3 linked regions of the Saccharomyces cerevisiae S288C genome follow. The protein of the gene in region 3 binds, or shares a complex with, the protein of the main gene of each other region. Each region holds a gene or a part of one and is shown on either strand. Other genes may lie near its edges. A codon is read from its position in the direction of its gene.

Region 1 (3,667 bases), on a different chromosome or scaffold from region 3:
CTTCACGGGTCTGTCATACTTATGTGCAAGGCCATGGTTCATCCTCAAGCTTTTCCCTCATGAACCAATAGAGGGCAAATCTACAAGATTGTACCGCTATTCGTATAATATCTTTAGGCCTTTTTATTATTCAAAGGAAGATGCGATTTGCATTATGTTTTGTGGCCCGGCTAAAACTGCAGCACTGGGTGTATCACTAATTACTTCACAATACGGCGATAAAAAAGAACACCTGGGTAAGTTGTTGGTTCCCTTGGTTTTATATCAAGTTGAGCAAGTCATGACGGCAAATTTCTTTGTAAGCTTGTTCAAAAGATGGATACAAAAGGACGCTCAAGCAGACGGAAGCGAGTCATCTTGTGCAAATGAGAATGAGGAAGTTGATTTGGAAAAGATCATATCAATTGGAACTGGTGAAAATCAATCCGTTCTGTCGAACAACGTCCCATATACACAACCAAGGTGATATTTCCCTTGTTAATTTTGCATGAATTCTATATATTACATAACGTTTATGTATATATTTCCCATCCTCATTGGATGGAAAAAACTAAACAGCACATATTCACACGGATTTTGGATACACGAAGCATCTATCACGTATTCTTAAAATTGCACGTCCCAAAGAGCAGCCGGTCCTTTCATATTATACTTTTCTCTTGTGATATAAAATGTATCTTTAGGATGAGTGAAAATTTGCTTAGAAACAATTTGGGCACCCAAGAATATAATCTCTGAATATCCACTTTTCTTCCACTCAGGAAAGTAATCTGGATATTTAGCCAGTTTGATTACTGTAGGACACTGTACGTATTCTATAGTTGGAACAAATGCGGTGCTATTTGTCATAAACTTGCTTTTCTTTTTTGTTGCAGCTGGTAATACGGATTTCGCTTCCTCTTCTCTTTTTGACTTCTCTTCCTCTGGCTCTATAATTAAATGGTCTTTCAGTAGTTGACCCAGTAAAGCTTCTTTAAAACCTGAAATTGAAGTAGTGCCACCGACGATGATAATATTTTCCCAAACGGCTTTAGCTTTGTTAATATCATCTATGTTATCTAACGTCAATCCTACACGATTAGAAATATTCTTAATCAGGTTATTACATCCTTGGAATCTTTGCTTACCAACTTTAATTTCGTTACCTTTTTCATCCCAAAAAGTATTGAATTCCAAGTCGCTATTTTTAACATTTTTGACTTTTTGACCACGTTCTCTTTCCTCTAAAACTTCACGTGTATCACGACCACTTGTAATAATCTCGGCAACGTTTAAAGTTCCTTCATCCTCGTCCTCATTTTCGTTTCCAAAATCGAAACTTGATAGTTTTTTGGCGTCGTCACTGAGCACCTCAAAAATTGGTGATTTTTTCAATGATTCTATCTGATCATCGTCCCATTGAGGTAGTAGTTTTTTTAGAGAATCATTAATAGACTGTCCGCCCATTGGTATTGAAGAGACAAGATGGTCTAATTGTGCATAGTCAACAATAGGAATAATATCTGTATGATGTGTTCCAACATCAATAATACAACAATTCTGCAACGAAATCATAGAATAAGTGGCCGCTAAGGAAGCCGGCAATTGGATTAGATTGTTTATCTCAAGACTTTCGAAGACATATTGAGTAATAATCTCTAGATCCGATTGCGACCAAGAGTGGTGCGTAATCAGTAGAAGAGGAATATTAGATAATTCAGCTTCAAAAGCATCTTGATTTTTATTAGCTCTATCAGACAAAATAGATACAAATATTAGTCTAAGAAATTGTGTAAAGGCGCTTATGTCTATTATTTCACCATTTTGGATTGGTTTGATTAATTCGGCTTTATTATCCTTGTTCGTTGAATGATATGTGTAGGAACCATCTTGTCTCGTGGTCCGATAAATCTGTGTTGGTATTTCCAGCTCAGGTACAGTGAATGTTTCTTCATTCAAACCAAATTGAACGAGAGTAGTTTGAGATCTGGGGTATATTATCTGTTATGAATTGTTGTTAGTATAAAAGATTAACCAAAAACTGTTCGTGAAGACTTAAAAAATCCATTGATGAACTAAATACGTACCAAAATACTGTCCTGCCTAAATGGAGCCATATTCAATGCATATAGTAGTTGTTCAAGACACTTAACTTCGCGTGGTACATTTTTTCTAATTCCGCAATATTGTCAGTTTACTATTAGAGATTTATAATGTTGAAATTTGCTTTTAGCCACTGCGCGGAAATATGTAGTATTCGTAACAAGTGACTCTAATGATATAAACACAGTAGAACTGTCATTAGAGCACATTAAATAATATGTATATCTTATTGCGTCCAAATGAACATAAAAGTGGAAAGGGAATGCCTGACCTAACAATTATCGTGATTATTGTGTCAAAAATGGTAAAGAAAACTTTTTTTTTTTTTGAAAATATGAAGGAAAGACGTGATATTTTATGATTTTTAGTTACAAATCCGGAGAGGTGTCCTTCTCCCACGGCAGCGTATATCTTTCTATTTCTACTTAACAAAAATCTGACATTATACTTTTTTTCTTTTATCAGAAAACTAGTAAAATTGATATACATCGAGATCAAAGACCTTGATGCAGTAGCTGAATGAAATTATAGGGAATTAATCCTATCCTATGATTTCTATCTATACGGTCATTATCATAAACTTCACCTTTATACCAATCTTTATTAACAATCTCAGTAATTAGCAGATAGTCGCCCTTATGGAAATTCGCTAATCCAGGTGCCTCATTTCCAATCAATGGATACATGGCCTTGGCATATTCAATGACTGGAAAACCTTCACTGGTGACAATAGGCAAGGTAACAGTAATACCTCTATCCCTGACCACACCTCTCTCATCCATGATGTTTCCTGTTTTTGTACCTGGTTTAGAACTACTTTGGATTCTTTCCATTTCGTACAAGGCATCTTCAATTGGATTACTTGAATCTTGCATTATCATGGATTGTCTATGCGTGTGCCCCCTAGACGTTCCTCTTACTGCCACAGGAGGTTTGAACAAAATTGTGCTTGTACTGGTATCTCTCCTCGTGTTATAATCATCTTCATTGAGGTTGTGCGCAGAGTTAGGCGTTCTTCCCCCATCATCCGACCTCGAAGAAGCGGATGAGGGTACTTGCAAATGGCTCATAGATTTTCTTTTCCTATTTGACGAGTTCCATGATTTGGCAAATCTCTGTGAGTCGTCTATACTATTGGCCATTGAACTTACGGATGTAGTCATAGATTCCATACTTTGTCTCTTTTTGATGTGGCTAAAATCCGTTGGATTAGAAGAACTTGATTCTGATGGTGAGCTGAGAGATTGATTTCTTTTATGCACCATTAGACCTTTTTCATCAGGATTTTTCGAATCTTCATCAGGTTTAAGTTGTTCTTCCCCAACAATCGGCCTTGGTTTATCAGGTTTCTGCCTTAACACGGAGTCATCCACATTGCTCTGTAACTGGACGGGTGAAGACCTCAAAGATAATGTTGGGTTAGCAACCACTTTTGTCTCATTACGTATGACGGGTGTGGAATTTCTAAATTGTGTAGCCATGGTGACTTCTGGAGATGGCAATGGTTTCTCATATTTGTCTATTGAAGCTAGTTTCCTTTTATTTTCGGTTTCCTTCAGCTGAGAAGATAGTTTCCTTATATTGT
Region 2 (3,706 bases), on a different chromosome or scaffold from region 3:
CTCAGATAATCTTCCAAGCACTTGGCAAGATAATAAGAAACCATATGCTTCAAAAACAACGCTAATCGTGGTCCCAATGTCTTTGTTAACGCAGTGGAGTAACGAGTTTACAAAAGCTAATAATTCCCCCGATATGTATCATGAGGTGTATTATGGTGGGAATGTTTCCAGTTTGAAAACCCTATTAACCAAGACAAAAACCCCTCCAACTGTAGTCCTTACTACATATGGTATTGTTCAAAATGAATGGACTAAACATTCCAAGGGAAGGATGACAGATGAGGACGTCAATATATCTTCAGGCTTATTTTCTGTCAATTTTTATCGCATAATAATCGACGAGGGTCATAACATTAGAAACAGAACGACAGTTACATCTAAAGCAGTCATGGCTTTACAAGGCAAATGTAAATGGGTTTTAACAGGAACACCAATTATTAACAGGCTTGACGATTTATACAGTCTGGTTAAGTTTTTAGAGTTAGATCCCTGGCGGCAAATTAATTACTGGAAGACCTTTGTATCAACGCCTTTTGAGAGTAAAAATTACAAACAAGCATTTGATGTGGTGAATGCAATTCTGGAACCCGTATTGTTAAGAAGGACAAAACAAATGAAAGATAAAGATGGTAAGCCATTAGTAGAGTTGCCACCAAAGGAGGTCGTTATTAAAAGACTTCCCTTCAGTAAATCTCAAGATCTTCTATACAAGTTTCTGTTGGATAAGGCTGAAGTTTCTGTTAAATCGGGTATTGCACGCGGTGATTTATTGAAAAAGTACTCCACTATCCTTGTCCATATTTTAAGATTGAGGCAAGTCTGTTGCCATCCCGGTCTTATTGGGAGTCAAGATGAGAACGATGAGGATTTATCTAAAAATAATAAATTGGTTACGGAACAAACGGTGGAGCTTGACTCTTTAATGCGTGTTGTTTCCGAGAGATTCGATAACTCATTTTCTAAGGAGGAATTAGATGCAATGATACAAAGATTAAAAGTTAAATATCCAGACAATAAATCGTTTCAGTCCTTAGAGTGCTCCATCTGCACAACGGAACCTATGGATTTGGACAAGGCTTTATTTACAGAATGCGGCCACAGTTTTTGTGAGAAATGTTTATTTGAATATATTGAGTTTCAGAACAGTAAGAATTTGGGTTTAAAGTGCCCCAATTGCCGTAACCAAATAGACGCTTGTCGGTTGTTGGCATTGGTACAAACGAATAGCAACTCGAAAAATTTGGAATTCAAACCATATTCACCAGCCTCCAAATCAAGCAAAATCACTGCTTTATTGAAGGAGCTTCAATTGCTACAGGATAGTTCGGCAGGCGAACAAGTTGTCATTTTTTCCCAATTTTCTACATACTTGGATATCCTGGAGAAAGAGCTAACTCATACTTTCTCAAAAGATGTTGCAAAAATTTATAAATTCGATGGACGTCTCTCATTAAAAGAAAGAACTAGTGTATTAGCAGATTTTGCCGTTAAAGACTATAGCAGGCAAAAAATCCTATTACTCTCGCTGAAGGCTGGTGGCGTGGGTTTGAATCTAACGTGTGCTTCCCACGCTTATATGATGGACCCATGGTGGTCGCCCAGTATGGAAGATCAGGCAATCGATAGACTGCATAGAATTGGCCAGACAAACAGCGTCAAAGTTATGAGATTTATCATACAAGATAGCATAGAAGAAAAAATGCTACGCATTCAAGAAAAGAAGAGAACCATCGGTGAGGCCATGGACACAGACGAAGACGAGAGAAGAAAAAGGAGAATTGAAGAAATCCAGATGCTGTTTGAATAGTCATACCACATACTCATATATAAAGACTTTATTTATTATTATTTTCAACCCGAAAGAACTAATTATTCTTCAGCTACTTCATGCAACTTCTATTATCTTCCTTTTCCGTTACCCGTATTTTTAAGTTGCAATTATTAAAAAAACAATTAAGAAAATAAAACAGCGCCATAAGGCATGGACGATAGAAATACGAAGACGAAGAAAATCATCATCAGTCGGGATCAAATAAGAGATAATTTTGAAAATCGAAAGTTTTCATTATGACAGAAAGTGTAGGTGGAAATAAACTAGTAGATTTTTTGGTAAATGTTCAATCCATTTTGAATGCTGCCTCTGTGAAATGTCATGTAGTAGATGAAAGTTTTCCAGCCAAGTTCTTTGAGAAAAATCCGGATAAGATATATGAATCATATTGTAAATTCATTAAAAATAGAAGTAACTCTGAAGGTTTGATACGTAATGAAGATAAATTAGTTTTGACAACTATCAATAAGAGGTTTGAAAATGGAGAGTACGAACCCATACAAGGTGGGTTTTATAAGCTGTATCACGACATTAAGCTGGTTTGTACAATCCTCATTCACTTTTATCCTCAGGGTACAAGAAACTACCAATTAGTCGACAAGTTCTACAAATTTTCTTCAGAGCTTTTATTACGAGAATGTTGTAGGATAGGAATTGCTCTAACGCAAACTAATAATATTAAATCAAGAAGTGGTAAGTTGTTGAGCGGAAACGAGATGGATGAATACGACGATGACGATGCAACAGAACTAGACAAAATAATCTCTTATGATTTTATTAAGATTTCTATGAATTACACAGTGCCGATTTCTCAAACATATCAGATAAGAACGAAGGATATGGACCTTTTTTCTTCGATAATTTCTAAATCTAATCTTGACAAAAGACCTCATGAACTTCCTAATACAAACTTCAAAATAAACAACGTCTTACCTCAAACTGATATAGAAAACGAAGCTCCAAGATTAGGATTTGTAGGCGCTAATACTAGTAATATTCCGGACCCTACGTTACCACCAACTGAAATGATGACTAGATTTTTGCATCCAAATTGGTATGCTTTACCTACAACCGTCTGGCTAAAATATGGTAATTATAATTCTTGGGCACCTTCCTTTAATGAAAACGGCACCGTTGTGGATTCGACAACAAGGGGTCTTATTTGGCTTGAAAGAATTGGTTATATGGACTTGTATGAAAAAAATGAAAAGAAAGTAAAACAAGAAGAATTACTGAACACGAATGAAGAAGGCATAAACAGGAAGCAGAACGATGAAAACAACAAAAATGTTGACGGCAAAAGCAATGGCGTTCAGGACGATGGTGGTGATAATGATAATGATGCGACTATCGCTTCTGCAAATTCAGAGAGTACTGAGAATAAGGAACAATTCATAATCAAGCTTCAAAACTTATATAATTGGACACCATCTAATTACATTGGAGATGACGAAATTGAGAACTTTCGAAATGGCACACCAGATAAGTTGGTTTCAGACTCTCTCTTAAAACTTAAAAGACTTAGAAAGGAGAGGATTTTAAATAAAGTTTTGAAGCCTACTACGGAGGAACGAGAATTATACTTCAAAGTGAAAAGAATACTAAAGGAGGTTATCTTAGCAAAGAAGGTTTCCAAGGTTCCTATAAACAATGTAAGGGCCTTTCCAGTATTACAAACAAACTATAATGGTAGCATACCTGTGGTAAGGGCGCAACCAGGTCGTAAACGGAAACACAAGAAATAAATAGTGTCAGCGGTAGTGGAATCAAAGATAAATAATGAATTATCTTTGTTTTAGTTTCATGAAAGCTCATCAAGTCTTTTTTGACTAATGTATGTTTATATTTTGATATTAGATAAAGTATGCATTTGTT
Region 3 (3,706 bases):
AAATATTATCCGCACTAAATAAAAACTGCCAATTCCCCCAAAAATTTACAGTGCTTTTCGGAACGGTTCAACTACTCAAAAAACATGCTCCAAGAATGACGGAGACTGAAAAATTAGGATACCTGGAATTGCTGTTGGTCTTATCAAATAAATTCGTCTCTGAAAAAGATGTGATAGGATTATTCGATTGGAAAGACTTATCAGTAATTAATCTTGAAGTGATGGTTTGGTTGACTAAAGGGCTGATAATGCAAAACTCATTAGAGTCATCAGAAATTGCAAAAAAGTTTATTGATTTACTGTCTAATGAAGAGATTGGCTCACTTGTATCGAAGCTATTCGAAGTTTTTGTCATGGATATCAGTTCTTTGAAGAAATTTAAAGGTATCAGTTGGAATAATAACGTTAAAATCTTGTACAAACAAAAATTCTTCGGTGACATTTTTCAAACACTAGTCAGCAACTATAAAAATACCGTGGACATGACCATTAAATGCAATTATTTAACTGCATTATCCTTAGTGTTGAAGCATACTCCAAGCCAATCGGTTGGTCCTTTTATCAACGATTTATTCCCGCTTTTATTGCAGGCTTTGGATATGCCTGATCCTGAAGTAAGGGTATCCGCTTTAGAAACTCTGAAGGACACTACGGATAAACATCACACTTTAATTACTGAACACGTAAGCACAATAGTTCCATTATTACTATCTCTTTCGCTTCCGCACAAATATAATAGTGTCAGTGTCAGGTTAATAGCCTTACAGCTTCTAGAAATGATTACGACTGTAGTACCTCTAAACTATTGTTTGAGCTATCAGGACGATGTTCTAAGCGCTTTAATACCAGTTTTATCTGACAAAAAAAGAATAATAAGAAAGCAATGCGTTGACACAAGACAGGTTTATTATGAATTAGGCCAAATCCCGTTCGAGTAAACGCTTGTATTTAATAATTTGTTCACATTGATGAGCACGTGAAAATCTTAGCGAGTATACTAAGTAAATATGATTCTTTTATGTATAGTACAGCAAAATAGCATTTATTTTTATTACGTTTAATCTTCTTCACTAGAGTCTTCCTCGTCGCTTAGTCCTACAGGTGCCAAACCCGGTGTCAGACCAGGATATCTATGATCTTTAACAAAATCGCTCTCTTTGATATCTTCCTTGAATTGTTTTCTTTTGAACCTTCTTCTTTTACTCCTGTCTGTGTTCGCAGTGGAAACTGTATCCTTCAAGATGGATTGCTGAATGTCTTCAAGCTCATCTCGTACTTCCTCTTCTAAATCCCACGACCTCAAATTTTGAGAATTCCTTTTGATTAACTTATTCAAATACTTCCTCTCATGGTCCGTTAATGTGCCCTCATGTTGATGTTTTTTCAAAACCTGGTGTTTTGCCAGTTGTTCAAGTTGCTCTTTATCTAATTTATGTTTCTTAACTTTTTTTTTTTTGACCAGTTTGCATTTTTTTTTAATTTTGTGAACGTCTCTGTTTTGTAACTGTACTCTCTTTTTCAAGTTCCTGTCGATTAACTGAGCTTTTGACCCATTGTTTACACTTGTTTTGCCATTATTAGCTCTGATTTTGGGAACGCCAGGCAAAAGGTTTGATAGCAGTCCATTAACAACCGAGGTGGCCTGGTATTTAGATGTTTGGCTCAGCGAAGATGACATTTTGGCCTAGCTAGCTCCCTCCTTAAGTTGTTCGTATTCTAAACAACTTTTCCACAAAACAATATTTCCACAGTTGCCAGCTATATTTCCATATTCCTTAGTTAAAGCTCATCGCAAAATTTTTCAAAGAGCATTAGGGTCACGTGTATACATTCACGTGACTATCTAGTACCCGCCCCGTGGCAAAAAAAGAAGACACCAATTTGGCACTGAGAAAAGAAAAAGTTTATCAATAACGAAAACGAAACTTAAGAGGAAAAAGAGTATAGAGAAAAACAAAGGCAATCAGCGGCTAATTTGGTGGAAATAACAACACAAAGAGGCAGCACAGTTTAGAGCAAGCGCGAATGCTTCAGGAACAATCTGAGTTGATGAGCACGGTGATGAATAATACACCTACAACAGTTGCCGCATTGGCTGCGGTTGCTGCAGCCTCTGAAACAAATGGAAAGCTGGGGTCCGAGGAACAACCTGAAATCACTATTCCAAAGCCGAGGAGTAGTGCACAGTTGGAGCAGCTACTCTACCGCTATAGGGCTATTCAAAACCATCCAAAGGAAAACAAGTTGGAGATCAAGGCAATAGAAGACACTTTTAGGAATATATCACGTGATCAGGATATCTACGAAACAAAGTTGGATACCTTGAGAAAGAGTATAGATAAAGGATTTCAGTACGATGAGGATTTATTGAATAAACACTTGGTTGCCTTACAGTTACTGGAGAAAGATACAGATGTCCCTGACTACTTCTTAGACTTACCAGACACCAAGAACGATAACACTACGGCGATCGAAGTAGACTATTCTGAAAAGAAACCAATAAAAATATCAGCAGATTTCAATGCGAAGGCCAAAAGTTTGGGTTTAGAATCAAAATTTTCTAACGCTACGAAGACTGCATTGGGCGATCCAGATACCGAAATAAGGATTTCTGCACGTATATCCAACAGAATTAACGAGCTGGAAAGATTACCTGCCAATCTGGGTACATACTCACTAGATGATTGTTTAGAGTTTATTACAAAAGATGATTTATCGTCCAGAATGGATACTTTCAAAATCAAAGCTCTTGTGGAATTGAAAAGTTTAAAGCTACTAACTAAACAAAAATCGATTAGGCAAAAGTTAATCAACAATGTTGCCAGCCAGGCACACCACAATATTCCATATCTACGTGATTCTCCTTTCACAGCAGCTGCACAAAGATCTGTTCAAATTAGAAGCAAAGTTATTGTCCCACAAACCGTTCGTTTGGCAGAAGAATTAGAAAGGCAACAACTATTGGAAAAAAGAAAAAAGGAACGTAATTTACATTTACAAAAAATAAACAGCATCATTGATTTCATCAAAGAAAGGCAGTCCGAGCAATGGTCTCGTCAAGAACGTTGCTTTCAGTTCGGTAGATTAGGCGCTTCATTACACAATCAAATGGAGAAAGATGAACAGAAAAGAATAGAAAGAACTGCTAAGCAACGTTTAGCTGCTTTGAAGTCTAACGATGAGGAGGCTTATTTAAAGCTTTTAGATCAAACTAAGGATACTAGAATTACACAGTTATTGAGGCAGACTAATTCCTTTTTGGATTCTTTGTCGGAGGCTGTTAGAGCACAACAAAACGAAGCAAAAATTCTTCATGGTGAGGAAGTCCAACCAATTACAGATGAAGAAAGAGAAAAGACTGACTATTATGAAGTCGCTCATAGGATCAAAGAAAAAATTGATAAACAACCTTCTATTCTTGTTGGCGGCACTTTAAAAGAGTATCAATTACGAGGTTTAGAATGGATGGTGTCGTTGTACAATAATCATTTGAACGGTATTCTAGCAGATGAGATGGGTTTAGGTAAAACCATCCAATCTATTTCTCTAATAACATATCTTTATGAAGTTAAGAAAGACATCGGCCCTTTCCTAGTCATTGTACCTTTATCCACAATAACCAATTGGACTTTAGAATTTGAAAAATGGGCTCCGAGCTTAAACACTATTATATACAAAGGTACACCAAATCAAAGACACTCTTTAC

The links.
Region 1: the proteins of STH1 (region 3) and ARP9 are in contact, whole or in part, in a cryo-EM structure (PDB 6VZG), measured with the Saccharomyces cerevisiae proteins. Residues at the interface, in NP_012140.1 of Saccharomyces cerevisiae: Arg344 (codon at 3,055), Gln345 (codon at 3,058), Arg347 (codon at 3,064), Cys348 (codon at 3,067), Phe349 (codon at 3,070), Phe351 (codon at 3,076), Gly352 (codon at 3,079), Leu354 (codon at 3,085), Gly355 (codon at 3,088), Ala356 (codon at 3,091), Leu358 (codon at 3,097), His359 (codon at 3,100), Met362 (codon at 3,109), Glu363 (codon at 3,112), Glu366 (codon at 3,121), Arg369 (codon at 3,130); in NP_013747.1 of Saccharomyces cerevisiae: Glu28 (codon at 1,929), Tyr151 (codon at 1,560), Ile154 (codon at 1,551), Ser155 (codon at 1,548), Gln157 (codon at 1,542), Asp176 (codon at 1,485), Tyr177 (codon at 1,482), Ala178 (codon at 1,479), Gln179 (codon at 1,476), Asp181 (codon at 1,470), Pro413 (codon at 774), Tyr415 (codon at 768), Phe416 (codon at 765), Pro417 (codon at 762), Ile434 (codon at 711), Val435 (codon at 708), Lys437 (codon at 702), Gln438 (codon at 699), Ile439 (codon at 696), Phe447 (codon at 672), Trp463 (codon at 624), Asp464 (codon at 621), Val465 (codon at 618), Gln466 (codon at 615), Phe467 (codon at 612).
Region 2: the proteins of STH1 (region 3) and RSC58 are in contact, whole or in part, in a cryo-EM structure (PDB 6V8O), measured with the Saccharomyces cerevisiae proteins. Residues at the interface, in NP_012140.1 of Saccharomyces cerevisiae: Lys48 (codon at 2,167), Pro49 (codon at 2,170), Arg50 (codon at 2,173), Ser51 (codon at 2,176), Ser52 (codon at 2,179), Leu55 (codon at 2,188), Leu59 (codon at 2,200), Glu80 (codon at 2,263), Phe83 (codon at 2,272), Arg84 (codon at 2,275), Ile86 (codon at 2,281), Ser87 (codon at 2,284), Asp89 (codon at 2,290), Gln90 (codon at 2,293), Asp91 (codon at 2,296), Tyr93 (codon at 2,302), Glu94 (codon at 2,305), Lys96 (codon at 2,311), Leu97 (codon at 2,314), Leu100 (codon at 2,323), Arg101 (codon at 2,326), Ser103 (codon at 2,332), Ile104 (codon at 2,335), Asp105 (codon at 2,338), Lys106 (codon at 2,341), Phe108 (codon at 2,347), Gln109 (codon at 2,350), Tyr110 (codon at 2,353), Asp111 (codon at 2,356), Glu112 (codon at 2,359); in NP_013133.1 of Saccharomyces cerevisiae: Ala23 (codon at 2,134), Ala24 (codon at 2,137), Lys122 (codon at 2,431), Lys125 (codon at 2,440), Phe126 (codon at 2,443), Glu129 (codon at 2,452), Asn239 (codon at 2,782), Ala241 (codon at 2,788), Pro242 (codon at 2,791), Arg243 (codon at 2,794), Leu244 (codon at 2,797), Gly245 (codon at 2,800), Val247 (codon at 2,806), Gly248 (codon at 2,809), Ala249 (codon at 2,812), Asn250 (codon at 2,815), Ile254 (codon at 2,827), Pro255 (codon at 2,830), Asp256 (codon at 2,833), Pro257 (codon at 2,836), Thr258 (codon at 2,839), Thr262 (codon at 2,851), Glu263 (codon at 2,854), Met264 (codon at 2,857), Met265 (codon at 2,860), Phe268 (codon at 2,869), His270 (codon at 2,875), Pro271 (codon at 2,878), Asn272 (codon at 2,881), Trp273 (codon at 2,884).

The regions. Positions count from the first base shown.
Region 1 is NC_001145.3:336,217-339,883, reverse strand, and holds ARP9 (Arp9p), read right to left. Parts: upstream 2,097-3,667; coding exon 2,067-2,096; intron 1,981-2,066; coding exon 607-1,980; downstream 1-606. Other genes in the region: RCH1 (Rch1p), read left to right, coding at 1-466; YMR030W-A (uncharacterized protein), read right to left, coding at 2,281-2,571; formin-binding protein HOF1, read right to left, coding at 2,577-3,667.
Region 2 is NC_001144.5:206,694-210,399, forward strand, and holds RSC58 (Rsc58p), read left to right. Parts: upstream 1-2,067; coding exon 2,068-3,576; downstream 3,577-3,706. Other genes in the region: DNA helicase RAD5, read left to right, coding at 1-1,807. UniProt on the Saccharomyces cerevisiae protein: Component of the chromatin structure-remodeling complex (RSC), which is involved in transcription regulation and nucleosome positioning. RSC is responsible for the transfer of a histone octamer from a nucleosome core particle to naked DNA.
Region 3 is NC_001141.2:115,967-119,672, forward strand, and holds the start of STH1 (RSC chromatin remodeling complex ATPase subunit STH1), read left to right. Parts: upstream 1-2,025; coding exon 2,026-3,706. Other genes in the region: MET18 (Met18p), read left to right, coding at 1-938; RRT14 (Rrt14p), read right to left, coding at 1,058-1,678. UniProt on the Saccharomyces cerevisiae protein: Catalytic component of the chromatin structure-remodeling complex (RSC), which is involved in transcription regulation and nucleosome positioning. RSC is responsible for the transfer of a histone octamer from a nucleosome core particle to naked DNA.